3 linked regions of the Macaca fascicularis genome follow. The protein of the gene in region 3 interacts with the protein of the main gene of each other region in a biochemical or structural test. Links are inferred from orthologs where the notes say so. Each region holds a gene or a part of one and is shown on either strand. Other genes may lie near its edges. The genes, in order: CSTA, CSTB and CTSB.

Region 1 (9,589 bases), on a different chromosome or scaffold from region 3:
AATTCTCATCAAACGCTCATTAACATATTATATAGATAATGAATCAGCAATAATGATCTGGAGGCTTTTGCTGTTGGGCCATTCATTTATTTGGTTCTTCATTATACAGATTGTGGCTTTTCATGAATGGGATTATGTATGGCTCTGTCTTTCTGGGATGTGTCCCTCTTAGATCCATTCTATTTTATAAATTTCCACAAGGGCAGGCACTATTTTATGTCCCTGCTATCCCCATAGCAGTTCACACAGTTCTGTCTACCTAACCAATGTTTTCTGAATGAAAAGACCACAGTTGTTTTCCATCCTGACAACTTGTCTTCCCAAATAGGAAAGATGAGTATAGCAATGACCTCAGCTAATACAGAGAATCTTGGAAGAGGGTTTTCTTCCAAGTGTACTTTAGTACATGATGCTACAATGACATGTTCAGTCTCTGTTATTTTCAGAATGGGAAAACTCATTTCTCCTGCCTTCGAAAACTTTCAAGTTTTCTCAATTGCCATCCCCTTTGTTTGCCTTTCTTTTCTTTCTGCCCTCATCCAATATTCCTCTTTCACTGTGATATCAAATTCCTTGACCATGCAGTTAACATTTGTCTTTGATACTCTTCCCTTCTCTATGTGATGTCTTTTTCTTCTTTCTCTCCTTCTAATGGGGTTCTTCAGTTGGCCTTCCACTAAGAAGCTCTCTGAGAAGGCCAAGGAAAGCTGATAAACTTCAGCTCCTCTGAGAATACTTGCACTTTAACAGGTGATTTTAAAAAACACAAATACAGGGCCAGGCGCGGTGGCTCACGCCTGTAATCCCAGCACTTTGGGAGGCCAAGACAGGCGGATCACGAGGTCAGGAGATCGAGACCATCCTGGCTAACACGGTGAAACCCCGTCTCTACTAAAAAATACAAAAAAAAAAACAAAAAAACAAAAAAAAACTAGCCGGGCGAGGTGGTGGGCGCCTGTAGTCCCAGCTACTCGGGAGGCTGAGGCAGGAGAATGGCGTGAACCCGGGAGGCGGAGCTTGCAGTGAGCTGAGATCCAGCCACTGCACTCCAGCCTGGGCGACAGAGCGAGACTCCGTCTCAAAAAAAAGAAAAAAACAGAAATACATTCAAAAATCAAAAAGTAAAACTAGCAAGTAAGTGACAGGTAGTGGAGATTGTCCCTGAATTGCCAGCACCTACCCATTTTCCCTGTTCCTGCATGGGGACCTACTGTAATTTTGGAGAAGGAATTGACTCAAGTTTCTCACCTATAAAGTGGTTGTAATAACACTTGCCTCTTGGGGCTGTTTGTAGGGGCATAAATGATATAAATGATGTGAAAGTGCTTCCTAAACTACAACGAGTTTTCCAACTCTTCCTCTACCTTCTAACACTGAACTGGAAATTGTGCCCTAAGGCTCACTCCTGCAAGAGAGGGCAGATAAGTGATAATCCGGGCTTTAACACGGGAGTAGCTGAACTGCCTCACAGTAATTATTTACCTGAAAGGAAGGAGGTTTGACCAGCAATCTCTAACATCTTTTCTGGTCCAAAACCTATGATTATGAAAAAGTACTTAATTGGATATTGTTTTATATACTGTTCCAGATATCTCGATTTTTCCCAACTACCGTATAAACTGCTAGAGGCCAGGGGCCATATTTTACAGCCCTTATGTAGCTTCTATAATAATTAGCATAACGCTAGACACTTAGGAGATATACAAGAAATGCACCAACCATGAAATGATTCACTGATATTCATTTCCTATATTTATTTATTTATTTATGTATTTTTTTTAGACAAAGTCTCACTTTGTTGGCCAGGCTGGAGTGCGGTGGCGTGATCATGGCTCACTGCATCCTCAACTTCCTGGGTGCAAGTGATCGTCTCACCTAAGCCTCCCAAGTAGCTGGGACTACAGGTGTGTACCACCTGGCTATTTTTTTTTTTTTTTTTGTATTTTCGAGGAGGTAGAGACAGAGTTTTGTCATGATGCCCTTGAATCCCCCAGATCAAGCAATCTGCCCGCCTCTGCCTCCTAAAGTGCTGGGATTATAGCCGTGAGCCACCGCACCTGTCCCTCTAATGATTAAAAAAAAATTTTTTTTAACTTTTAAATTTTAAGATTTTTTTACTTTTTGAGATGGAGTCTCGTTCTGTCATCCAGGCTGGAGTGCAGTGGCACGATCTCGGCTCACTCCAACCTCCGCCTCCTGGGTTCAAGCGATTCTCCTGCCTCAGCCTCCTGAGTAGCGGGGACTACAGGCGCCCATCACCATGCCCAGCTAATTTTTGTATTTTTAGTAGAGACGGGTTTCGCTATGTTGACCGGGCTGGTCTTGAGCTCCTGACCTCAGGTGATCCGCCTGCCTTGGCCTCCTATATTGACTTAAATTTGAGGCTGGTGCTTCCACTGAGAAGACAAACTTAACACACTCTCTCCACTCAGTGTATTTCCCTTTCCTAACAAAGCTCCTCTGTGTTCTGCCACTGTGTGGTGGAGAGTGCAGGCAGTCAGACACTGGGGGTGAGCTAACTTCTTAACTAGGTGACTCTTTTTTTTTTTTTTTTGAGACGGGAGTCTCGTTCTGTGGCCCAGGCTGGAGTACAATGTTGCGATGTTGGGTCACTGCAGCCTCCGCCTCCCAGGTTCAAGTGATTCTCCTGCCTCAGCCTCTGGGTAGCTGGGATTACAGGCACCTGCCACCACGCCGCCTAATTTTTGTATTTTCAATAGGGATAGAGTTTCGCCATGTTGGCCAGGCTGGTCTTGAACTCCTGACCTCAGGTGATCCGCCCGCCTCAGCCTCCCAAAGTGCTGGGATTACAGGTTTGAGCCACCTTGCCCAGCTTAACTAAGTGACTCTTAATCTCTTTAAGTCTTGGTTTCATCATCTGTAAGATAGACACAATACCTTCCCTGCCTGCCCCAGGGGTTATGAAGATGAAATCAGAGTTTGAATGGAGGTCAAGCTTTTTAAAACTGCAAAGCTCCTTTCTGGGGTGAGGTAGCTGTTCTTAATGTTTATCTCTCATTCTACCTCTCTGATGACATTTGAGCCAAAGGGAAGCAGCTTCCTCTCTGCCACACACACACTTTCAAATCAATTTTATAATTTAAAATGGGACTCACAGATAGGTGTTATTAACAATGCAAGGCCCTCTGGTAGCTTCTTATTTTAAAAATTAATAATTATTGCTAATCAAGTGATAGATTTTTAAAAAAATCATTAAAATTTTCTGTACTGTCTCTATTTCAAATTTATTTTTCCCTGTCTTTCTACAGCTCTGGTCCTTAGAGAGTCTCAGGGGGATTTTTTAGGATCAGGGATGCTTTCAGCCACAAATTTGAAGCAAACAATTGTGATGCTTCACCTATGCACATTTGTTTTTCATTTTCAAGTTATTTTTATGCACATTTTCTCACTTAGTCCTTACAGCTCTGACATCGGTAGGGCAAGAGGTGTTACCTTCATTTTTCAAATGAAATAGACAAATTTTATTTTGGCACCCTGACTTTCTTTTTTGAGGTAGGGTCTTGCTTTGTTGCCCAGACTGGAGTGCAGTGGCACTATCTCAGCTCACTGCAACCTCTGCATCCCAGGCTTGAGTAATTCTCCTGCCTTAGCCTCCTGAGTAGCTGGGATTACAGGCACCTGCCACCACTCCCAGCTACTTTTTGTAGTTTTAGTACAGACGGGGTTTCACCATGTTGGCTAGGCTGGTCTCGAACTCCTGACCTCGTGATCCAACCGCCTCAGCCTCCCAAAGTGCTGGGATTATAGGCATGAACCACCACACCCAGCCTGCACCCTGGCTTTTAAAGCGCCATCTCCCCCTGGCCTTGTAGGATGCCATACATCTCTGATTCTGCAGGCAAGTGAGGCCATGGGTGGCAGCAGCAGCAGCACTTGGGAGTCTGGTAGAAATGCAGAACCTCAGACCTCCCCCAGGCCACCTGAATCAGAATCTAAGGTTTATCAAGACCTGCAGGTGATTCATGTGCACATTCAAGTTTGAGAACATGGATCTGATCTGCGGATTCACATGAAGAAATTACTGACTTAATATCATCTCCCAGAAAAAAAGCTCCAAGATATTTATTTTTAAAAAGAACGCTTGAAAGAGAAATAATTAGTCCCCAAGAATGAGTGATGGGATTCTAGGCATCTGGCCCCTTAGAGAGCTTTCTAGTTCCCTGAATATACAGGATCCCAACTCTTATAATCACACAAAAGCTGATCTTGTGTTCCACACTGTCATGGAATGATGTTTCAGAGAGAAAAAACAAGAAGGAATAATACAAGAAAATAAGGTAACAAACTAAAAACCTAAAATGGTAATTTGTACATGTTTTCCTTCATAAAATATGCAACTAAATGTTTACTGCATAGCTAGATGATAGCTAATCACACAACACTTAGAAAAATATATCAGGGCCGGGTGTGGTAGCTCACACCTGTAACCCCAATACTTTGGGAAGCCTAGGTGAGTAGATGGCTTGAGCCCAAGAATTCAAGACCTGTCTGGCAACAGAATGAAACTCCATCTCTAAAAACAAAATAAAACCCCCAAAATCAGCCAGGCATGGTGGCATGAGTCTGTAACCCCAGCTACTCAGGAGGCTGAGTGGGGAGGATCGCCTGAGCTGGAGAAGTTGAGGCTACAGTGAGCCATGATCACACCATTGCACTCCAGCCTGGGTGACAGAATGAGACCCCATCTCTTAAAAACAAAACAAAAAAGAAAAAGAGAAAAACATATCAATCCGCTAATAACATTGAGTTCTATTTTTCCGTATATAATTTGGCAGCCTCTGACATTTTGGAGTCACTTTAGACTATCACTTCTCTTCTCCATTAGCTGAATCACCCTTTAACTCTGAAAAGACTAAAACACTGTATATTTGGGCATAAGTGTATGAAATTTGTAAATAGATTGCCTTTACAATATTATTCTTCATTCAATCTATTTTTTAAAAATTTCCCTGCAGTACATTCCAAGACTACTTCATCAAACTGTTAATAACCTTACACTTCAATTACATGTTGGCTTCACTTGGTGAGATTAGAAAAGTTGTATCAGAAACTGAATTAGTAATGCTAGAATCATATCTAGGATTGAGCTTTAGAGATGATACAATACAAATTCTTCTTTTACACATGGAGAAAATGAAGTTCAGAGAAGAAATGTGATTCACTCAAGGTCACACTCACAGTTTGGGGATTATTCGAGGTTTCATCTGAAAACCTCTTATTTCATCTTAGTTGTAAAGAAACCTGAACAAAGTCACACACATCCTAAACTTCTAGTTTTCATGTTCAGCCACATCCTTTCCACCAGGACAACTTATGAATCAAGATTTTGGCTCAGACTTTTTCCTGAATGGCATCAACTCACCTTATCAACAATCTCCTGGATTTCTGGAGTGGCGGGTTTGGCCTCAGATAAGCCTCCAGGTATCATTTTGGCTGATTGCTTCTTTGCTGGACAGGATGCTGGAACCAAAGTGAATAGGGAAGTGTGGAGACTCGTGTGTTAAAAGAGGCATTCACTAGCTCCGCCTATAGAATGCTTTATTTTCCAGAAATAGCAAAGAGGCATGGGGAAAATGAGTATGCCTCCAAGCAAGTCTTCTTGCTTCCTGGACAGAATATGCTACATGGAATTTGGAAGAAAGAGGGGTTGGAGGATGAACAAACAGGCAAGTATAGGAGTCATGTCCTAACAAGCATCAAACATCCCCGCATTCTCTTTGACAATGGTTCCATCCTGTTGCATCATCTGAATTATGAAATCTGAAACTACAACTAGAATTTCCAAATGTTTTAAAACTTCTAACACAAAATTTTATTTTTTTTAAAGCAAAACTTACTAATAATGTCAAGGTTAATTTAGAATTTACTTGACTTTAGAAAGAAAGCAAACCGATCTATCTGGAGGACCTGGGCTGGATGTGTCTTCTTTACTCTTATTTAAATATCTGGAGATGTTTAACATACAGAAAAAACACAAAGAATAAAATAACAAACATCTATATTTCTATCACTCAGAGTTAAAATTTTTAACCTTTTTGTCATGTTTGCTTGCTATCTTTTATTTTGGTAGTTATTTTTAAGAAATAAAATATTACAGATATGGAGGAAGCCCCACACTCCACATAACCTTGCTGTCCAGAAGCAAAGTACATTGTGAATTGATATCCTTCCAGGTCATTTTTATACGTTTACTTGGTGTGTTTTTAAAATTTCACTTAAATTGTATGCTAAATATATTCTATGTTATGCTCCTTTTTCTCTTCAACATGTTTTTGAGCCTTTCCATGTTGATATACACATAGATCAATCCACAGATGGATCAATCCTGTTCATTTCCTTTAACCGCGATATGCTACTTTATGCTAGACCTATCTATTTAGTCTACCTATCTAACTGCTATATACTAGTTCATATTTTATATACTCATTTCCCTACTGATGATGATTTTGGTTGTTTCTAGTGTTTCATTCTTACAAACAATGTTGCATTTTTTCCCCTTTTGTACGTAAGTGAGTGCTTCTGCAGGCAACTTATCTAGAAGCAAAATGACCACGTTGTCTGAATATTTATGTATATTATATTATTCAATTTTGGGAATATATAATACATACACAAGATAAAAATGTTTGAAAGGAACCAGGCTGTACAATATAAGGAATTATTCACTCACTTAATGAGTGAATACTTTCCAGAGACAACTATTGGCACCAACTTCTTCTGTATCCTTCAGAGACATTCTATACACATACAAATATAAAAATAATTGGAGGCTGGGCACGGTGGCTCACGCCTGTAATCCCAGCACTTTGGGAGGCCGAGGCAGGTGGATCACAAGGTCAAGAGATTGAGACCATCCTGGCCAACATGGTGAAACTCCATCTCTACCAAAAATACAAAAATTAGCTGGGCATGGTGGCATGAACCTGTAGTCCCAGCTGCTCGGGAGGCTGAGGCAGAAGAACTGCTTGAACCTGGGAGGCAGAGGTTGCAGTAAGCCAAGATTGTGCCGCTGCACTCCAGCCTGGCAACAGAGCAATAGTGTGTCTCAAAAAAAAAAAAAAATAATAATAATAATAATAATTGGCTACACACACATGCACATACACATAGATAAATATACATCTATATAGGTTTTCTTTTATAAAAATGGTATTCTATATAAATGATTACACTTTTTGTTTTATTCCTAACAATATATTTTGGAGATTGTTCTATATCACAATACAGGGAGGTGCTTGTTTCTTTATAATCATGTTTGGTAGGTGCTTGGCAAATTCTTGGAGCTAGGTGAGTGTCTTATGGGCTAAACTAAGGGGCGCTACACAGGTAATCTCTCCACAGAATGCCTTTACCCTGTGGATTAAGAAGAACAGCGAATGTGGATGACAAGGTTCTCCCTCAAGAGGCCACAGGTCATCTGAAGATTTTGGCTCAGCTTTCATAGGCCACTGGTTCTACTCATCTTCATGTGACCTCCCCAAGTCAAGTCCTTTCATATTTAGGCCCCTGACATTTTTCCAAGCCTGCAGCCCATTTTTAGTTGTTCACTTACATCCTAGTCCAGGCCATCCTTATTGAATCTCCCCAGTGGTAAGGGATATGATAAAAAGCAAGTCTACTCTTCTCTTTTTGGGGTCTATGCCCTGTACTTTCAGCTCTTTCCTATTGATTCTCAATAATTTATTGTAGAAGTAAAAACTTCCCCAAAGCAAATATTGCTTTTGTCTTTTGTATTCCTCCTGTAACTGTGGGGAAAAGAAAAAGAGATCAGACTGTTACTGTGTCTATATAGAAAGAAGTAGACATAAGAGACTCCATTTTGTTCTGTATTTGAGATGCTGTTAATCTGTGACCCTACCCCCAACCTTGTCCTTGCAAGAGACATGTGCTGTGGTGACTCAAGGTTTAACGGATTTTGGGCTGTGCAGGTTGGGCTTTGGTAAACAAGTACCTGAAGGCAGTATGCTTGTGAAAAGTCATCACCATTCTCTTAATCTCAAGTACCCAGGGACACCTACACTGCCAAAGGTCCATAAGAGGAAAGAAGGTCTCTTGACAGTTGAGATAGAGAAAAGCATCTGTCTCCTGCCCATCCCTGGGCAATGGAACATCTTGGTGTAAAACCGGATTGTATGTTCTGTTTACTGAGAAAGGAGAAAACCACTTTAGGGCTGAAGGTGGGACGTGCTAGCCGCAATGTTGCTCTTTATGCACTAAAAAGTTTTATGGAGATGTTTGCATATGCATACCAAGGAACAGCACTTTTCCTTAAACTTATTCATGTCACAGAGATCTTTATTCATATGTCTTACTGTTGACCTTCTCCCTACGATGATCCTATTATCCTGCCACTTCCCTTTTTCTAAGATGGTAAAGGTAATGATCAATAAATACTGAGGGAACTCAGAGACTGGTGCCCGCGTGGGTCCTCTGTATGCTGAGTGCCAGTCCCCTGGGCCCACTTTTTCTTTCTCTATACTTTGTCTCTGTGTCTCATTTCTTTTCTTAAGTCTCTCATTCCACCTAACGAGAAACGCCCACAGGTGTGGAGGGGCAGGCCACCCCTTCATCTGGTGCCCGACATGGGTGCTTTTCTCTAAGGTGAAGGTACGCTGGAGCGTGGTCATTGAGGACAAGTCAACGACAGACTCCCGAGTATGTCTACAGTCAGCCTTGCGGTAAGCTGGTGTGCTCGGAAGAACCTAGGGTAACAATGGGGCAAACTAAAAGTAAATATGCCTCTTATCGCAGCTTTATTAAAATTCTCTTAAAAAGAGGGGGAGTTAAAGTCTCTTACCAATAATCTAATTATGCTATTTCAAACAATAGAACAGTTTTGCCCATGGTTTCTGGAACAGGGAACTTTAGATCTAAAAGACTGGGAAAAAATTGGCAAATAATTAAAACAAGCAAGTAGGGAAGGTAAGATCATCCCACTTACAGTATGGAATGATTGGGTCATTATTAAAGTAGCTTTAGAACTGTTTCAAACAGAAGAAGATAGCGTTTCAATTTCTAATGGCCCTGAAAGCTGTGCAGTAGATTGTGAAAAAGAGGCAGGGATAGAATCCAGGAAAGGAACAGAAAGTTCACATTGTAAATGTGTAGCAAAGCCGGTAATGGCTCGGTCAATGCAAAATGTTGGCGATAATCAATTACAGGAGGTGATAGATCCTGAAACATTAAAATTAGAAGAAAAAGGTCCAGAATTAGCAGAGCCATCAGAGTCTAACCACGATGGCCAACTCCTCTTACAGCAGCTCAGATGCCTGTAACTTTACAACCTCAAATGCAGGTTAAACAAGTACAAACTCCAAAAGAAGATCAAATAGAAAAAGATAGAGTCTCTGCCATGGCAATGCCAATCCAAATACAGTGTCCACGATATCAGCCGGTAGAAAATAAGACCCAGCCGCCAGTAGCCTATCAATACTGGCCACCAGCCAAACTTCAGTATCGGCTGCCCCCAGAAAATCCATATGGACAGCCAGGAATGTTTCCAGCGCCACAGGGCAGGGCGCTAAATCCTCAGCTGCCCACCATGGGATGTAATTCTACAGCACTGCCT
Region 2 (9,639 bases), on a different chromosome or scaffold from region 3:
CAAAACAAAGGAGGCAATCTGTAAGGATTTTAAAAATATATCTATTTTGAAAATATTTTGAAAGTAATTAAGATCACTGATTGGGAAGGAAAGAAATCAACACAGTGAAATTTAGGAAGAGAAATGCAAGAGCAGCTGCTGAATCCCGCCCCTTCCACCGCAAGGGCACAGCCCGGAAATGAAGCTTATTTTAGGATCACAAGTGCATGCTCTGGTCCACGGAGGATCACTTTAATTATCAGTCTTCTGGCTGAAGGGTCCTGTCCCAAGTCAGGATCAGAAATAGCTCAGCTCGTCGTGCTTGGCTTTGTTGGTCTGGTAGTCAGACAAGGTCAAGGGCTTGTTTTCGTGAGGGAGAGATTTGAACACTCGCAGGTGTACGAAGTCCTCGTCGCCAACGTGCACCTGGGAAGAGAGTGGAGTGAGAGGAGCCTCTGATCCCGAGTCACCTTGCTGCATCCCTCCAGGTCGTTCGCAGCCGCTGACAAGCCTGTCTTCTGCAGGTGCAGCGGACGCCTTGCACCCCACATCCCTTAGGGTTCTTAGCTCCCCGGAAGCCCCAGTCCTCCTGAAAGGCCGATGGACACACACAGTAGGATGCTCATCTCAGGGGGCAGCCACAGGGTGCACCAGCACCTGAGACCACAGAGCCCAGGCCTGCGCAGGCGGCTTTCTACCAGCACCCGTTTGGGGCGGGCCCTCCCAGGCCACACTCCACACCACGGAGCCCAGGCCTGTGCAAGCGGCTTTCTACCAGCACCCGTTTGGGGCGGGCCTTCCCACGCCACACTCTACCTTGATGAAGTAGTTTGTCCCCGCGACCACCTGGCTCTTGAACGACACGGCCTTAAATACAGGGAACTTCTTGTTTTCCTTCTCTTCAAGCTGGGACCTCACCTAGGCAGAGGGGACATGAGGATGTCTCAGCGGCTTCTTGGATTCCCTCCTGCTGGAGTAACTTGCACGCACGTGCACACACACATGATTCTGACACTGGCTCTTCACACAATTGTCTCTTACAACTGAAGGGACATTTTAACTGTTAGCCTAATAATAAAGTAGAAAAAAACAGTTCCAGTTGGGTACGGTGGCTCAAGGCTGTAATCCCAGAACTTTGGGAGGCTGAGGTAGGCGGATCACTTGAGGTCAGGAGTTTGAGACCAGCCTAGCCAAATGGTGAAATCCCGTTTCTACTAAAAATACAAAAATTAGCTGGGCGTGGTGGTGAGCACCTGTAATCCCGGCTACTCGCGAGGCTGAGGCAAGAGAATCACTTGAACCTGGGAGGCGGAGGCTGCAGTGAGCCGAGATCAAGCCACTGTACTCCGGCCTGGGCAACAAGAGCAAAACTCCATCTAAAAAAAGAAAATTAAATTGGGCCAGGCAGGGTGGCTCATGCCTGTAATCTCAGCATTTTGGGAAGCTGAGGTGGGTGGATCACTTGAGGTCAAGAGTTCGAGACCAGCATGGCCAACATGGCGAAACCCTGTCTCTACTAAATATAGGAAAATTAGCAGGGTGTGGTGGCGGGTGCCTGTAGTCCCTGCTACTTGGGAGGCTGAGGCAGAAGAATCACTTGAACCCCAGAAGCAGAGGTTGCAGTGAGCTGAGACCACACCACTGCACTCCAGCCTGGGTGACACGGTGAGACTCTGTCTCAAAGAAAAAGGCCAGGTGTGGTGGCTCACACCTGTAATCCCACCACTTTGAGAGGCCCAGGACGCGGATCACTTGAAGTCAGGAGTTCGAGACCACCCCTGCCCATGTGGCAAAACTCCATCTCTACTAAAAATATAAAAATTAGCTGGGTGTGCTGGCTCACACCTGTAGTACCAGCTACTTGAGAGGCTGATGCAGGAGAATCGCTTGAACCCAAGAGGCAGAGGTTGCAGTGAGCTGAGACTGCGACACTGCACTCCAACCTGGACAACAGAGTGAGACTCCATCTCAAAAAAAAAAAAAAAAAAACAATTAAATCTAACGTAGTTTAAAAGTACTCTGGGGTCAGGCACAGTGGTTTCTGTCTGTGATACCAAAACTTTGGGAGGCCAACGCCAGAGGATTGCTTGAGCCCTGGAGTTGGAGACTCCATCTCTAAAAAATAAATAACATACAAAAACTAGCCAGGCGCGGTGGCGGGCGCCTATAGTCCCAGCTACACGGGAGGCTGAGGCAGGAGAATGGCGTGAACCTGGGAGGCGGAGCTTGCAGTGAGTCGAGATCCTGCCACTGCACTCCAGCCTGGGAGACAGAGCAAGTCTCCGTCTCAAAAAAAATAAAATAAAAAAATAAATAAATAAATAACATCAGCCAGATGTGGTGGCATGCGTCTGTGATCCTAGCTACTGGAGAGGCTGAGGTGGATCGCTGGGGTCCTGGAGTCCGAGGTTACCGTGAGCGATGACTGCACCACTGCAGCCCAGCCTGGGAGATATGGTGGGACCCTGTCTCAAAAAAAAAAAAAGTGCTCTGGCTGCTGCCTAGGTTAACGGGTAAGCACAAGAGTGTACCGGAGTGACGAAGCCGGTCCCAGAGAATTAGGGGTTTAGTTTAAAAAAAAAAAAAACAGGCCGGGCACAGTGGCTCACGCCTGTAATCTCAGCACTTTGGGAGGTTGAGGCAGGTGGATCACGAGGTCAGGAGATCAAGACCATCCTGGCCAACACGGTGAAACCCCGTCTCTGCTAAAACACAAAAAATTAGCTGGGCGTGGTGGCGCACGCCTGTAGCCCCAGCTACTCAGGAGGCTGAGGCAGGGGAATCGCTTGAACCTGGGGGGTGGAGGTTGCAGTGATCGCTGAGATCGCACCACTGCACTCCAGCCTGGCAAGAGAGCAAGACTCCATCTCAAAACAAACAAACAAAAAGGAAGTGGCAGGAAGCACACCAGTTGGGAAAGAAAGGGAGTCACCCAGTATTACCGGTAGCGGAGCCACCAGGGCAACCTGGCCCAAGGCCCCACCACCTCCCAGCGCCAGGGAGGGCCTTTGCTGGGACAGGCTGGAGAAGAGAGGCCTGGGGCCCTGGCAGGAAAGGCTGGGGAGGTGGGGAAGGGAAGGTGCCCTCCTGCCCCCCATGTTCTCTGCTCAAGGCCGCCATGCTTCTCGCTGCATGGGCACAGTGGCTACCTGTGTCTGGAGACCAAGCTGTGTGCCCCTCTCCCAGCAATGTCCAGTGGGCTTGCGGGGACACACCAGTGTGGCAGCCCTCACCCCCAGTCACTGAGGGCTCAGGTTGTGTCTCGCCCACAGACCCGCCCTAGGGCATGGGAGGATGAGCACTGGCCCCTCTCTTTGCTGTTTCGGGAGCAGGAGCAGCAAAGTCTGCAGGGCATGGCAGGGAAACCCCCAGGAGGCTGTGGAGGAGGCTGTGCACCGTGGAGGTGCTGGTTCCAGGCCAGGCCACCTGTGCAGCGTGGGCACTGACGTGGGCACTGACGCCGCTGACAGGGAGCAGCAGGGGCCGGCCTCTCACCGGGGGAGCCCTGAAAGGCAGGATGAGTTAGAAAGCCGCAAGTGACCGACCAGTCACCTGTGTTGGGGGTGTCGACAGTGGGGCAGACGGGCTGCGAAGGCGCAGGGGTGGCTCTGGGGGAGGGTCCCCCATGCAGTGGCACAGAATGAGGAACTCTGCTGGCCTTAGGGCTCAAGTCAGGCTCTGGTCTCCACCTTCCTTGTCTGCAAAGTATGATAGGAACACTCAGCTCGAGCGCTCCCATAAGGAGTCGGTAAGACAGGGCCCGACTAGGGGGTGTCCAGGAAGCGCCCCTGCCCCTCCCTCCCGCCCTTCCTTAGAGACCACCCGGCAAATGGGCTGCCTGGTTCATACGCCTGCCTTAACGCCCCTCCCAGTAGCCATGGCTGGGCCCACTCAGGTCACTTTTGAGACAGGGACTCTTTTCTCCTGGCTGCAACAAGAACTCATTCGAAGTTCAGAGTGGGTGACAATGCGGGATGTCTTAGGCCTGGAAAGCCAGGAAACGGGTAAGGAAGAGCTGGGTAGGCTTCTATGAGTGGCTGTCGGGGAGAGGAACCACTTTTCCAGGTGCGGCTCCCACAAGCAGCCTGGGCAGGCACCGGCCGGACAAAAATGCCTCATTTCCAAAGGTGTCATGAGACTGACTCATTCTGCCCTTCTTCCTGCAGTCAGATGGTCAAAAACCCTTGAGTGATGAGGCTGTGGGCTGATCACATTCAGGAAGCAGCAGAGGGGAGGAAAGATAAAAGGAGAAAGAAGGCTGGGCAGGGCTCACGCCTGCAGTCCCAGTGAGAAAGAAGGCTGGGCGGGGCTCACCCCCGCAATCCCAGCACTGTGGAAGGGTGAAGCTGGAGGGCCGCTTGAGCCCAGGAATTTGAGACTAGCCTGGCAACATGGTGAAACCCCGTCTCTACTAAAAATACAAAAATTAGCCAGGCGTGGTGGCGTGCACCTGTAGTCCCAGCTACTCAGGAGGCTGAGGCAGGAGAATCGCTTGAACCCGGGAGGTCAAGGCTGTGCCACTGCATTCCAGCCTGGGTGACAGAACAAGACCCTGTGTCAATAAATAAATAAATAAAAATAAAGGAAAAGAAATTTGTTTCCTTTTTCCTCTCCTTACTCAAAACACAGGCCAGACCAGCCTGGCCAACATGGCGAAACCCCGTCTCTACTAAAAATACAAAAAACTAGCCGGGTGAGGTGGCGGGCGCCTGTAATCCCAGCTACTTGGGAGGCTGAGGCAAGAGAATAGCTTGAACCCAGGAGGCAGAGGTTGCAGTGAGCTGAGATCATGCCACTGCACTCCAGCCTAGGCAACAGACCGAGACTCTGTCTCAAAGAAAACAAAAACAAAACAAAAACAGGCCTCGGCTGGGCATGGTGGCTCACACCTGTAATCTCAGCACTTTGGGAGGCTGAGGCGGGCAGATTACTTGAGGTCAGGAGTTCAAGACTAGCCTGGCCAATCTGGTGAAACCCCGTTTCTACTAACAATACAAAAATTAGCCGGGCATGATGGTGCATGCCTGTAATCCCAGCTACTCAGGAGGCTAAGGCAGGAGAATCTCTTGAACCTGGGAAGTGGAGGTTGCAGGGAGCCCAGATTGCGCCACCGCACTCCAGTCTGGGCAACAGGGTGAGACTCCGTCTCAAAAACAAAAAACAAAAAACCCAGGCCTCAGCATCGCCTGGACCTGTTCCTGCTTGGGGCATCCACTTGGTCACCAACTATGACAGGGAGGCGGGCCCGGCCTGTGCTCCACCGGAGGGGCTTCCTGCAGAGGACCTGCTCACTGAAGCCCCTCTAGAATCCTCTGGAAGGTGCAAAGCAACAGGACGTCCATTTTACAGACGAGGAAACCGAGGCACAGGGAAGGTTGCCCTCTGCAACCCAGCCCGGTTTTTATCTTGTTTTTTTGTGTGTTTTAGCTTTTTATTTAGACTTACAGTTTGAAACAGTGTTAGAATCAGAAGCGTGTAAAGAAACCTGTAGACCCTTTGTGCAGATACGCTTAAGTTTTTAACCCATGTGCCTTATCGCTGGGGACCTCTTGCACTCTCTCATGATATTTGCCTGAACTAGTTGAAGATACTGACAAAGATTCTTGCTTGGCCAAACTGTAGTCGGGCTCCTGAAGCGCCTAGGCCACCTGCGCACTTCCTTGTAAAATCCAATTTTAGCAAGAAGCCTGGCTAAGTCCGTTTGGCCAGACCCTCCCCACCCGCTTGCTATCGGGTCACCGTGAAGTTTGGAGCCGGCTGCTCACCTGCGCCATCGCCGGCGACGCCCGATCACCTGAAGCGCCTCATGCCTGGGGTTTCCCCTCAGGGATTGTCCATCCAGGGACCGCACCCTGCTCCGGGGCTATCAGTTGCCACTCGCCCTTGCTGTATTCAGCGGAGCCCAGTGTCTCCCCAGCGCCGACCCAGGCGCGGCCCCCTCCCCTGCACACTCGCACGCAGCGCCCGAGCGGAGGGAGGCCTCTCACGGCCACAGCCCGGCCAGCCCGGGGGTCCAGGACCGAACCCGCCCGCCCAGGTGCGCAGCGGGGCCGAAGTGGCTTCTCCCGCTCCAGGAGCCGCGGCCTCGCCCTGAGGCTCAGGCGGGACCCCGGGCCGGCCCCGTCCCCGGGGCCCACCCACCTGGTCGGCGATGTCCTGGGTCTCGGCGGTGGCCGGCTGCACGGCGGAGGGCGCCCCGCACATCATCTTGGCGGCGTCGGAGGGAACCTGGCGAGGGGACTCGGCGACGGGACGCGGCGGCTCCTCTGCTCAAGTAGGCGCTGCGGTCACGTGACACGCGGGCGGAACCAAGGCGCGGGGAGGGGGGACCTTGGCTTGGGCGTCCCCTGCGGGGTCGCGGTGGCCCCGCAATAAGGGGCGCGCGGGGCGGGGCGCAGGGAAGGCGCGGGGCTGGGAGCCTGGCTACCACGCTCCGCGGGCTCCGTCTCCGCGCCCAGGGCCGGTGTCGGGAAGCAGCGCCCCCCTCCCGGGGTTGGTGTGGTCTTTCCAGGCGCCGAGTCACAAGGACTGGGGCGGGGGCGCGGCCGGGTGTCGCCGGTGGGTTGGGCGCGCAGGGTGGGACCATAGGGAGGGGCAGTCGGAGGGGGAGCCGTCCTGCAGTGTGGCGGGGTCCGGGCCGCGCACGAGGGAGGGCACGGGTGGGGTGGGCGCAGCGCTACAGGGGTCAGGGGTTCCGGCCCTGCGGAAGCAGGTGTGCTGGCTGCTGTGGACATCACCGCTTGTGACCCAGGACACTGAAGGCTGAAGCGGGTGGACAGAGAGGCCCAGGGAGGAGGAGACGCGCCCATGCGCCCCAGGCTGGGTGGGGGCAGGGGTTAGATCAGAGGGATGAGAAGAAGGCAGGGTTCTCTGGTGGAATTGGAATTTGAGTTTTAGGATTTCTTTTCTTTTTTCTTTTCCTTTTCTTTTTTTTTTTTTTTCTTTTTTCTTTTTTTTTTCTTTTTGAGACAGAGTCTCGCTCCGTCGCCCAGGCTGGAGTGCAGTGGCTCAATCTCGGCTCACTCTAATCTCCACCTCCCGGGTTCAAGCGTTCCTCCTGCCTCAGCCTCCCCAGTAGCTGCGATTTCAGGAGCGCGCCACCACGCCCGGCTAATGTTTGTGTTTTTTGTAGAGACGGGGTTTCCCCATATTGGCCAGGATGGTCTCGAACCCTGACCTCATGATCCACCCGCCTTGGGCTCCCAAAGTACTGGGATTACAAGCATGAGTCACCGAGCCTGACCTCTTTTTTTTTTTTCTTTCTTTCGTTCTTTTTTTTTTTTTTAATTTAGGCAGGGTCTTGCTCTGTTGGACAGGCTGGGGTACAGTGGCCTGATCACAACTCACTGCAGCCTGGACCTCCTGGGCTCAATCGATCTTCCCACCTCAGCTGCTATAGTAACAGGCTCACCCTACCACACGCATATACAGAGAGTTTCACCATGTTTCCCAGACTGGTCTGGAACTTCCGAGCGATCTGTCCACCTCGGCCTCTCAAAGTGCTGGGATTAGTGGCATGAGCCACTACACCCCTAATTTTTTTTTTTTTTTGAGACGGAGTCTTGCTCTGTCGCCGAGGCTGGAGTGCAGTGGCACGGTCTCGGCTCACTGAAAGCTCTGCCTCCTGGGTTCATGCCATTCTCCTGCCTCAGCCTCCTGAGTAGCTGGGACTACAGACGCCCACAACCACGCCTGGCTAAGTTTTTGTATTTTTAGTAGAGACGGGGTTTCACTGTGTTAACCAGGATGATCTCCATCTCCTGACCTCGTGATCCACCTGCCTCGACCTCCCAAAGTGCTGGGATTACAGGCATGAGCCACTGTGCCTGGCCTGCACCCCTAATTTCTTTAAAAACTGTTTTTGTAGAGATGGAGTCTCACTATGTTGCCCAGGCTGGTCTTGAACTCCTAGGCTAAAATCGATCCATCCCCCGAAGTGCTGGGATGACAGGCTTGAGCCACCACACAGGCCCTTTGGTTTACGATTTGTGTTAGACTGGACCACCTGGGAAAGGGAGGGGTCGCTTGCCTTATTTGGGGTGGGGGTGGGGCCTGTGCTAGGCACCTATTGGTGTGACTGGCTCTTCAAAATGACCAGACACCCCACCCAAGGGCTGTCCCTCAGGGGGACTGGTCCGCTCCTTGGTAGAAGGCCCAAGCAGGAGCAGCCCATGAATGAGTTGTGGGGGCCTTTCCCTTACCTGCCAGGGCACAGCCTGGTCTGTCACTTCAGGCAGTCAGGTGTGGTTGAAGCCTGGGGGGAGCTGGGCAGAGACCTGCATCATTGTTGAATGAGTGAAGGCAGATTTGACCCCACGAACATGGAAAACTCTTCTATGTGGAAAACAAAGCATCAGAGGAAAAAATGGTCAAGAGAAAGGGATGTCCGCTGCCTGTACAGGTCCTGCGGCTCTGTGGGGCTTGTGCTGTGGAAGGTGTTGGCCTTGAGGCCTTTGGTCCTGAGGTGCCTCCTGGAGTCGGATCCTCACTCTCCAGGCTGGAACTGGGTCCTAGGTGCCTCCATTGTACAAATAGGAGGATAACAGCTGTGGAAATAAACAGAGCCCACGCACATGAGAACAAAAGGTCATTTATTCAGGGCTTGCTGTACAAGGGAGTCGCCATCCTCTCTTGTGTTGACCGAGATTCCTCAGCAGGCGGAGGCAGGGCCAGGGAAGAGCCTGGAATGGGAAGGGGAGGCTCAGGTGCACCTAAGGGAGGCTGTGGCCTGGGAGCCGGAAGAGGGGCTCACTAGGAGTGTGACCACGACAGGTCTCTTGCCCAGGGTGTGGGAAGTCAGCACACTGCCACCCAGGGTTTGCAGCAGACAGTTTGGACCACAAGGCTGTAACTGAGAGGAGACCTCAAATCCACCTCCCTGAGGAGTATGGGGCTGGGGACTTTTAGGGATTTGGAGTGGGCTGAGGGCGGGGGCCGCTGATGGGTGGAGGCGTGCAGGGTGAAGTCATGGGGTGGGGTTGAAGAAGCTGTGTTTTCATGCTGGTTCACTTCCTCTGTGGGGCTCTTCAAGCTGGTTGGCCTGGAATTAAGGATCTGAAACATCTTTTTTTTTTTTTTTTTTTTTTGAGACGGAGTCTCGCTCTGTCACCCAGGCTGGAGTGCAGTGGCCGGATCTCAGCTCACTGCAAGCTCCGCCTCCCGGGTTCACGCCATTCTCCTGCCTCAGTCTCCCGAGTAGCTGGGACTACAGGTGCCCGCCACCTTGCCCGGCTAGTTTTTTGTATTTTTTAGTAGAGGCGGGGTTTCACTGTGTTAGCCAGGATGGTCTCGATCTCCTGACCTCGTGATCCGCCCGTCTCGGCCTCCCAAAGTGCTGGGATTACAGTCTTGAGCCACCGCGCCCGGCCAGGAGTTCTTAAACAAAAGAACAAAAGTCTCATGATTCTGAAGTCAGAGATTCCATCTGTAGGAACAGTGGGAGTGCAGATGGTCACTAGTGCTACGTGACTCTCAGAAGGAAGTGGGCTAAAGTGTAGCCTAACGAACACTCAGTCATCCTTCTCTCCCTGCCTCCCCCCTCCTGCCTCCCCCTCCTTCCCTCTCTCCCTTTCTCCCCCCTCCTTCCCTCTCTCCCTGCCTCCCGCTCCTTCCCTCTCTCACTGCCTTCCCCACTCCTTCCCTCTCTCCCTGCCTTCCCCC
Region 3 (9,742 bases):
AGGACTTGCGCAAGCCAGGAAGCTGCGTGACTGTGTGTGTGCACATTCTGCCGGAGTCCAGGTCAGCAGGTCAGAGGGTCATGACACAGCCCAGCCCTCCAGGTCTCCTAGGGCAGAATATCCAGATGTCTTCTACAGGGCTCTCTACTGGTCCCGTTACCATCTTGGCCACACTGGTCCCATCCTCCTCCACGCAAGCTTGCTGGTGATGCTAGATTATCTTGATGTCCAGACCAAAGAAGTTACTGGCCTGGTAAAGACAGATAACACAGTCAAGACTGCCAGCCACACATCCTTCTCAGCACCCAGCATTTACAAAACATCAGTTCTGGGCTGGGCACAGTGGCTCACATCTATAATTCTGACACTTTGGGAGGCCAAGGTGGTAGGATCAACTGAATCCAGGAGATTAAGACCAGTCTGGGCAGGATAGTGACCCCATCTCTATTTAGAAAATTAAAATTTAAAATAAAAAACAAATAGGCTGGCAGTGGCTCAGGCCGGTAATCCCAGCACTTTGGGAAGCCAAGGCGGGCAGATCATGAGGTCAGCAGTTCAAGACCAGCCCGACAAACATAGCAACACCCCGTCTCTACTAAAAATACAAAAAGTAGCTGGGCTTGGTGGCACACACCTGTAATCCCAGCTACTCAGGGGGCTGAGGTAGGAGAATCGCTTGAACCTGGGAGGTGGAGGTTGCAGTGAGCCGAGATTATGCCACTGCACTCCAGCCTGGCGACAGAGCGAGACTCCGTCTCAAATAAAAAAAGAAAGAAAAAAACCAGCACATACACCATCACTGACCAACAATAAAAACAGGAAAAATGTCACTCATTAACCCATTTATGCCAGAGGTTGCAACTTTTTGAATTGCTGCTGAGTAAAAACATCAGACCTTGGTGATGACCTTGAGCAGTACGATGTAAAAACTCCCACATGCTTAGCGTTCCAATAATGGAACACTAGGCATAAGTGGGTTAATGTTTTCCTATGGCAAAGATTAAATTTGAATTTCTGGTCATGAAATTAAAACAAGGGTACCACTTCAAATCCATCAGATTGGCAAAAATCAAAGTCTGGTAGTATCTAGTGTTGGTAAATGTCAGGAACAGGAACTCTGCATACGCTGGGCGTGTAAATTGATGCAACCACACTGGAGAACCCTTTGCCAACATCTAGCAAGACGGAAGATGAACACACCTCAGGACCCAGAACAAGCTCTCCTGCATTTGCCCTGCAGAAACTCTTCCAAGCATCTGGGAGACAGGATATTTACTGTAGCAGGGGATGATAGTGAAAACGAAATAATATAACTGTCCCTCAGTAGATAAACACACTGGGCACTTAAGACAAATGGACTAGAATTGGATGTATCAACAGAAATAAATCTCACAACCGTGAGTGAAAAAGGAACCATGTAATGGAACTGAAGTCATATAAACTTAAACGTTGTTTATTTTTTTTTTATTTTTATTTTTTTTTTTTTGAGACGGAGTCTCGCTCTGTCACCCAGGCTGGAGTGCAGTGGCCGGATCTCAGCTCACTGCAAGCTCCGCCTCCCGGGTTTACGCCATTCTCCTGCCTCAGCCTCCCGAGTAGCTGGGACTACAGGCGCCTGCCACCTCGCCCGGCTAAGTTTTTGTATTTTTTTTAGTAGAGACGGGGTTTCACTGTGTTAGCCAGGATGGTCTCGATCTCCTGACCTCGTGATCCGCCCGTCTCGGCCTCCCAAAGTGCTGGGATTACAGGCTTGAGCCACCGCGCCCGGCCCTTAAACGTTGTTTATACACTGATGCAGAGTTTTAAAAGTACAAAAAGGCCTGGAGTTGGCTCACGCCTTATAATCCCAGCATTTGGAAGGCCCAAGTGGGAGGAGGTAAGGGGATCACCTGAAACCAGGAGTTTCAGAGCAGCCCTGGCAACAGAGAGAGCCTGTCTCTACAAAGAAAAAAAAAAAAAGCTGGGTACCGCCTGTGCTCCCAGTTAGTTACTACTTGGGAGGCTGAGGTGGGAACCATATCGCTTAAGTCTGGGTGGCCGAGGCTGCTGTAAGCCATGGTCGCACCACTGCACACCAGCCTGGGAGACAAAGCAAGACCCTGCCATGAACCAAACAATAAATGAATGAATGAATGAATGAATGAATGAACAAAAAAATGTGCAGGAGAATTCAAATGAGTAGCAGCAGACAGGGAATAAAATGGCCCCTGGAAGAACCAGTAAACAGGCACAGGAGTGGTCTGTAGAGGCGGAGGATAAGGCTTGAAGCTAAAAACGAGATTAGTTAAAAGTCTAAACACAGGGCTGGGCACAGTGGCTCACGCCTGTAATCCCAACACTTTGGGAGGCCAAGGCAGGGGATCACTTGAGGTCAGGAGTTCAAGACCAGCCTGGCCAACATGGTGAAACCCTGTCTCTACTACAAATACAAAAATTAGCCAGGCGTGGTGGTGCATGCCTGTAATCCCAGCTACTCGGGAGGCTGAGGCAGGAGCACTGCTTGAACCTGGGAGATTGTGCCACAGCACTCCAGCCTGGGTGACAGAGTGAGACTCTGTCTCAAAAAAAAAAAAAAAAAAAAAAAGTCTAAACACAGAGTGAAATTTGATCCCTAAACCTCCTACCCCACACAAGCTAGGGTAAATATAAACTTTAACAACTATGCCAGGGCGCAAGGTTTGCCTCCCACACACTCTTTCTCAGGCAGCCTGGGACCAGACATAGAGACTGCTGCCTGCCACCCTGATGTCCCAGAGGCACAACACATCTGTACATGCCTCCCCTAGACTCAACTGCCTGCCACCCCAACCATCTCCCTTTACATGTACCATGTGGAAGTGCCCAGTAAATATCACTCAACAGCACATTTTTCCAATAATTTCCTTACACCAGGCCATCAAAAAGAGGCAGCAGACCGGGCGCAGTGGCTCATACCTGTAATCCCAGCACTTTAGGAGGCCGAGGTGGGCAGATCACAAGGTCAGGAGTTCCAGACCAGCCTGGCCAACGTGGCGAAACTCCCATCTCTACTAAAAATACAAAAATTAGCTGGGTGTGGAGGCGCATGCCTGTAATCACAGCTACTCAAGAGGCTGAGGCAGGAGAATTGCTTGAACACAGGAAGCGGAGGCTGCAGTGAATTGAGATCTTGCCACTGCACTCCAGCCTGGGTGAGAGAGTGAGACTCCGCCTCAAAAAAAAAAAAAAAAAAAAAGAGAAAAGGATAAGAAGTGGCATACCTGTAACTCCTCCCTCTCAATGTTTCAGTCCATATCTCGAAAGGAAGGTATATTATTCTACACAACCATAACTCATTAACAGATTTAAGAAAATCACCCCCACCCCGGCGTGGTGGCTCACACCTGTAATCCTACCACTTTGGGAGGCTGAGGCGGATCACCTGAGGTGGGAGTTAGAAAACCAGCCTGGCTAACATGGTGAAACCCCGTCTCTACTAAAAATAATTTTTTAAAATGCCAGGTGTGGTGATGGGCACCGGCAATCCCAGCTACTTGGGAGGCTGAGACAGGAGAATTGCTTGAACCTGGGAGGTGGAGGGTGCACCACTGCACTCCAGCCTGGGCGACAGAGGGAAAGTCTGTCTTAAAAAAAAAAAGAAAGAAAGAAAGAGAGCATCACCGACAGACATCCCAAGGCACCCCTGAAACGTGATCTCCCTTCATTTCCCAATCCAACCAAGAGCAACAGAAAATATCTGTTACCCCTAAAATGGGTGCAACTTATCTTCCAACTCCCAGGTCCCGCAGCTAGGGAAAGAAAAGAAGCTGCCTAGGAGAAGAGCCTCACCAAACTGCTAAATCAGCACCACATGGGCCGCTTCAACCTGGAGCCAAAGGGCTGCCACCCCTCGCCGCCTGACCAGTTGACAACAGGGCTGTCCTGAGCCAACATCCAGGAGAGCTGTTGGGGCGAGAGCTGTGCCAGGGCCGTGTCTGGTCTGCGTTGCCACCTGGGCCAAGAGACCTGTGCCTTTCCACCAGGGGATACCCCAGCTCCGGGACAAATGACCAAAAAGGAGAAGCCTCTGCTCTCCAGGAGACGTCTGACTCTGTCTTTGGGAAAGCTACACAGGGTGGGCGGCCCAGCCCCTTTCTCCAGGAGCTGGCGGGTTCTAAGTCACCATCACCAAGAAGAAACAGTTCTCCGCCAGGCCAGGCATGGTGACTCATGGGGAGGCCGCGGCAGGCAGATCACCTGAGGTCAGGAGTTCGAGATCTGCCTGGTCAACATGGTTAAAACTCATCTCTACTAAAAATGCAAAAATTAGCTGGGTGTGGTGGCAGGCACCTGTAATCCCAGCTACTCGGGAGGCTGAGGCAGGAGAATAGCTTGAATCTGGGAGGCGGAAGTTACAGTGAGCCGAGATTGCGGCACTGCACTCCAGCCTGGGAGACCGAGCGAGACTCCATCTCAAAAAAAAAAAAAAAAAAAGAACCGATGTTATGGAAGAGAAAGAGCAGCCCTTAACCAAGCCAACGCCCTCTTAGGCCTCTTCGCCTTACCTTCCTGAACGTTTGGACTGAAAGAGGGTGCATCTCAGCTATCCTCTCCTCCGGCGGGAGGCAGTGGGGATCAGTTTTTCTAGGCTACAAAAACGTGCCAGGTCTGCCTTTGAGCCCCACAGCATCGCTTCTCCAGTGGGTTTGGGGGTCTCTCCTCCGTTAGGAGGAGGGGTGTAGGGCCTGCGCTAGGATCCTTTTCCTTGCCAGCCTGCTGGCTTCCTCGATGCCTGGGGAAGGGGGTGACAGAGGCCCACCAAGAAGCCAAGTGCAATTCACTTCCAGCTGGGTCACCCACCCCAGCCTGCCTGCAGCGCCCCACACCCAGGCACCTACTGCTCCCCAGAGGCCAACTCCCCCCGGCCTCCAGGGCTACTAACCGAGGGGGAGGTAGGGCCCCAGGGACTCTGCCCGGCTTCCCTTTACTGGAGTCCAGGGGGCAGGGAGCGTCCCTGGCCTTCTCCCCACCCGGCATCCAATCGCCCATTCGCCTCTTGGTTTCGCAGCTTGGTTTCTCTTCCTGTTTATGGATTTAACTCCGTGCGGGTTCCTCCCCAGCCCACCCAGTGCCAGATCCCTGTTCAACAGGACCTGTCTTCTGGGGTCCCAGGAATTGTGTGGGATCTTGCGCAGAAAGTTGGCCAGGCAAATCCTTTGGAACGAGGGGGAAATAAACCGAAAATAGATGCCGGCAGATGCGATAATCTCGGCAGTTTGTCCCGGGGACACCGAGGCCCAGGCGCTGGGAGCGCGACCCCAGGCAGCAGCCTCCGGACCTAGCCGAGCTCTTCCTCGCAGGCGCCTCCCTCGGGGCTCCTGGCCGCCTCCCCGCTCCGGGGGCCGGGGTCCCGCGCACAGGCCGGGGAGGGGAGCAGAGGGGAGGGGGCTGGCGGGCGGGCCGGCGGGGCTGTTTTCTGCTTTTCTTGTCGACGCTTCGGAGTGCGCGGGCTCCCACCCCAGCCCGCCAGTCAGGGTCAGTCCCGAGGGTCCTGGCTCCCCACCTGCCCCCAGGAACGCCGCGGGGCCGCGCCTAGGCCCGACCGGGGACGCAGAAGAACCCGTCTCGGCGGCCGGTGGCACCGTCCCCGCCAAGGTCACTTCCGCCGCGGTGACCCCGCGCCCCCGGCACTCACCGAACGCTGCCGCCGAGAGTCTGCAGCCCAGCCTGCGCGCCGCGGAGCCGGTGCCGTTGCCGGAGCCCTGCAGCCGCCGTAGCCTGGGCCAGCCCCGGCCCTAAGTACCCTCCCGGTCCTGCGCCACGTGACTACCGCGCAGCCCCGCCCGTGCCCTCCCGCTGCCCGCGCACCCCGCTTCCCAGCCCCCACCTCCTCCCGCCACCTTCCGCCGCCCGCGCTCCCCTCTTCCCGGCCCCGCACCCCCCCACCCCTTCCGCCGGGGGTCAGGGGACACCGCCGGGGAGGGCGGGGGCCTGAGCGCGCGGGTTGGGGAAGAGGGGCTTGGAGCCCTGCGGGCCCTGGGTGGCGAAACGCTGCGAATTGGGGCCAGGGGATGGGGAAAAAGCCCCGAAAGGTGGTCCCAGAGCCCCCACCCCACCTAGAAAAGTCCCCCCGCCTCGCGGGACCGCTTCCGCCAGAACCGGCGCCGGGGATCCCTGCCTGCCGGGTTGGCGGGGGCGGGGTGGGGGAGAGGGCGCCGTCGCTTATTTCATTCATCAGAAGCCGCTGCAGGGGCTGGGGGTGGCGAGGCTGTGGACCCTACAGAACAGTCTTTAAACGCTCCACTTTGTTGTTCTGAGAACGTACCCACAAAACACTCCAGCTACGTACAAATAGAAAAGGGTGGCTGTCACCGCGAAGGAACCTAGGAGCTGCGTCAGGATTTCTACAGAGGAGGAGAAGGACCTTGGGGGGCGGAAATCGGCTTGGCACAGGAGTCCCGGGAGACCTGCTCCGAGAGGACTGACAAAGTGAACATTTACTTGGGGTTTATTAGCGGGAGGGCCTGGAGGGGAGATGCTGGGGTTGGCTCAAGACACCCTCCTCCAGACCCTCCCCAAACAGCTCTAATCCTAAAGACAAACCTGCAAGGCAGGCATGACCCCTGTATTCAAGAGGCTCAAAGAGGCTGGGCGCGGTGGCTCACGCCTGTAATCCCAGCACTTTGGGAGGCCGAGGCGGGCGGATCACCTGAGGTTGGGAGTTCAAGACCAGCCTGACCAACATGGAGAAACTCCGGCTCTACTAAAAATACAAAATTAGCCGGGCGTGGTGGCGCGGAAGGCTGAGGCAGGAGAATCACTTGAACCCGGGAGGCGGAGGTTGCGGTGACCCGAGATCATGCCATTGCACTCCAGCCTGGGCAACAAGAGTGAAACTCTGCCTTAAAAAAAAAAAAAAAAAAGTTCAGAAGAATCATCGTATTTTATCCAGGCTGTGGCGACAGTAAAAAGGCAGTAGGACTCCAAGGGACGTGGCTCCCTGCAGCCGGGTCGTCAGCTGTCACACAGCCCTGAGCCTGCCAGGGTCTTCAGAGTCATACCTGTATTCCCGCCTGGTTAGTACCAGACTAAGGATAGGAGTGGAAGGAAAAAATAATCTCTGGAGCCCAAACATGGTCACTAAGCCCCCAGCGGAGTGGGATACCCAAGGAACTGAAGACCAGAAGGCTGGAGGTCAAGGTGGTCCCAACTGCCTGCTCACCCTAGCCCTATCCTGAGGGCCATGGACTCCAGACTCCAAATCAGTGCTGGGGCATGCTGTCTTCCATATGGAAGTCAAATCATTTCAGACCTCTATAAAGAGCTCATAAGATAGCCAAAATGGGGAGGACACAGCCAGAACCAGCATAACTCTTTCCCCTCTCGCATCCTTAGAGTGTGACAGAAGGTATGCAGAGCAGAGTGCTTGATATGCATTATGGCTGTTTGATGGAATTTTCTATCAGTGTCACATAAATCACTTTTGAGAGGTAAAAATAACTCTTGAAACAAAAGAAACAGGCTACGTGTGGTGGCTCACGCCTGTAATCTCAGCACTTTGGGAGGCTGAGGCATGCAGATCACCTGAGGTCACGAGTTCCAGACCAGCCTGGCCCAAATGGTGAAACCCAGTCTCTACTAAAAATACAAAAATTGGCCGGGCGTGGTGGTGCATGCGCCTGTAATCCCAGCTACTTGAGAGGCTGAGGCAGGAGATTTGCTGGAGCCTGGGAAGTGGAGGTTGCGGTGAGCCAAGATCACGCCATTGTACTCCAACCTGGGCAAGACTCCCTCTCAAAAAAAAAAAAAAAAAAGAAAAAAAAAGAAAGAAAGAAAAGAAAAGAAATAGGCTGGGCATGGTGGCTTAGACCTGTAGTCCCAGCACTTTGGGAGGCTGAGGCGGGCGGATCACGAGGTCAGGAGTTCAAGACCAGCCTGACCAACATGGTGGAAACCTCGTCTCTACTAAAAATATAAAAATTAGCTGAGTGTGGTGGCGTATGCCCATAATCCCAACTATTCAAGAGGTCGAAGCAGGAGGATCCCTTGAACCAGGGAGTCAGAGGTTGTAGTGAACTGAGATCACGCTATTGCATTCCAACCTGGGCAAGACTCTATCTCAAAGAAAATAAAAGAAATAAATGACTACCAGAGTAGAATTCATCCCTTCCTGGGACATCTAGGAAAGCTTCACGGAGAAAGGAACGTACAGCATATTTACTTGTGTATGTTCCTTCCTGCCCTCACTGGATCTTAAGCGCCACCTGGGCAAGGATTTTTACCTGTGTTGTTCCCCCGCTTCATCCCAGCACATTGCAGCCTGTCTGGCCCATAGCAGAGGATGGAGAAATGTGCGTTGAGTGGATGTGTAATGAATGAAGTAGGCCTTGAAGTTGAGGAGAATTTTGGCTTAACCTGCTAGATTTGGGGATCAGGGTTCAGGGCCTGGGGAACAGCTCTCAGAACTTACAGAGAGACCTGACTTACATGTGTAAAAGCTGTTTGCTTGTTGAACATCTGTAAAAGAGACCCAAGTTAACACCTGAAAGAGATGAAAACATATGTCCTCACAAAAATCCGCCAGGCACAGTGGGCTCACGCCCGTAATCCCAGCACTTTGGGAGGCGGAGGTGGGAGGATTGCTTGAGCCTAGGAGTTCAAGACCAGCTTGGGCAACATAGTGAGACCCCCATCTCTACACCAAAAGTTAATAACACATATATATATAAACTTGCACCAGATATTTATAGCAGCATTATTTACAATAACCAAAAGGTGAAAACAACTCAAATGTCCATCCATTAAAAACCATTGCATGAATAAACAGTCATAAATGCACCAAATGGAGTATTATTATTCCGTTGTAAAAAGGAATGAAGTAGTGACACACGCTGCATCGATAAACCTTGAAAACATTTGCTAAGTAAAATAAGCTAGGCCCAAAGGACCCCGTGTTGTATGATTCCATGAAATCCTCAGAATAGGCAAATCTATAGATAGCAACTAGATTCATAATTGCCTTTAGCCTGGGGGAGTGCACATGGGAGGTTAGGTAGGTGACAGCTAAAAGGTGTGGGGTTTCTCTGGGGGCTAATATGAATTTTTTTTTTTTTTTTTTTTTGAGACAGTCTTGCTCTGTCATCCAGGCTGGCGTGCAGTGGCACGATCTCGCCTCACTGCAACCTCCGCCTCCCGGGTTCAAGCAATTCTCCTGCCTCAGCCTCCTGAGTAACTGGGATTACAGGCACCCGCCAGCATGCCCAGCTAATTTTTGTATTTTTAGTAGAGATGAGGTTTCACCATGTTGGCCAGGCTGGTCTCAATCTCCTGGCGTCGTGATCCACCTGCCTTGGCCTCCCAAAGTGCTGGGATTACAGGCGTGCGCCACCGCGCCCGGCCGTGAATATTCTAAAATTGATTTGTGATGATGATTGCACAACTCTGTGAATATACTAAAAATGATGAAACTGTGCACTTTAAAGGGTGAATATTTATGTCAATTCTATCTCAGTAAAGCTGTTACCAAAAACAAACAAAAACAAAAACTAAAAAACAAAAAGTTGATTTCGGAAGTCCTGAAAACAACTCTTCGCACCCCACCCTCTAAATGAGACCCTATTAAGAGGCCTCTTTTCTGAGCAAATGCCCGATTTGTTCTCCTTTATTTTACAAACCCTTGTGAACCGGATGGCCTCTGACCTCCAACAGCTTCTAAATCCCGGGAAGTGAGACTGTGCTGAACGGTTTTTAATGGATGGCCTCTGTAGATATGCAGTGGGTTCTT

What was found.
Region 1: the proteins of CTSB (region 3) and CSTA form a complex in vitro, tested with the Homo sapiens proteins (3 studies listed by BioGRID and IntAct, with this or other methods). The link is inferred for Macaca fascicularis from reciprocal best matches to the Homo sapiens genes CTSB and CSTA.
Region 2: the proteins of CTSB (region 3) and CSTB form a complex in vitro, tested with the Homo sapiens proteins (2 studies listed by BioGRID). The link is inferred for Macaca fascicularis from reciprocal best matches to the Homo sapiens genes CTSB and CSTB.

The regions. Positions count from the first base shown.
Region 1 is NC_088376.1:160,915,454-160,925,042, forward strand, and holds the start of CSTA (cystatin-A), read right to left. Parts: upstream 5,499-9,589; 5' UTR 5,450-5,498; coding exon 5,384-5,449; intron 1-5,383. UniProt on the Homo sapiens protein: This is an intracellular thiol proteinase inhibitor. Has an important role in desmosome-mediated cell-cell adhesion in the lower levels of the epidermis.
Region 2 is NC_088377.1:3,290,225-3,299,863, reverse strand, and holds CSTB (cystatin-B), read right to left. Parts: upstream 6,226-9,639; 5' UTR 6,187-6,225; coding exon 6,121-6,186; intron 898-6,120; coding exon 796-897; intron 406-795; coding exon 277-405; 3' UTR 22-276; downstream 1-21. UniProt on the Homo sapiens protein: This is an intracellular thiol proteinase inhibitor. Tightly binding reversible inhibitor of cathepsins L, H and B.
Region 3 is NC_088382.1:9,046,084-9,055,825, reverse strand, and holds the start of CTSB (cathepsin B), read right to left. Parts: upstream 6,139-9,742; 5' UTR 6,075-6,138; intron 5,732-6,074; exon of another isoform or gene 4,524-5,731; intron 3,027-4,523; exon of another isoform or gene 2,935-3,026; intron 251-2,934; exon of another isoform or gene 1-250. UniProt on the Homo sapiens protein: Thiol protease which is believed to participate in intracellular degradation and turnover of proteins. Cleaves matrix extracellular phosphoglycoprotein MEPE. Involved in the solubilization of cross-linked TG/thyroglobulin in the thyroid follicle lumen.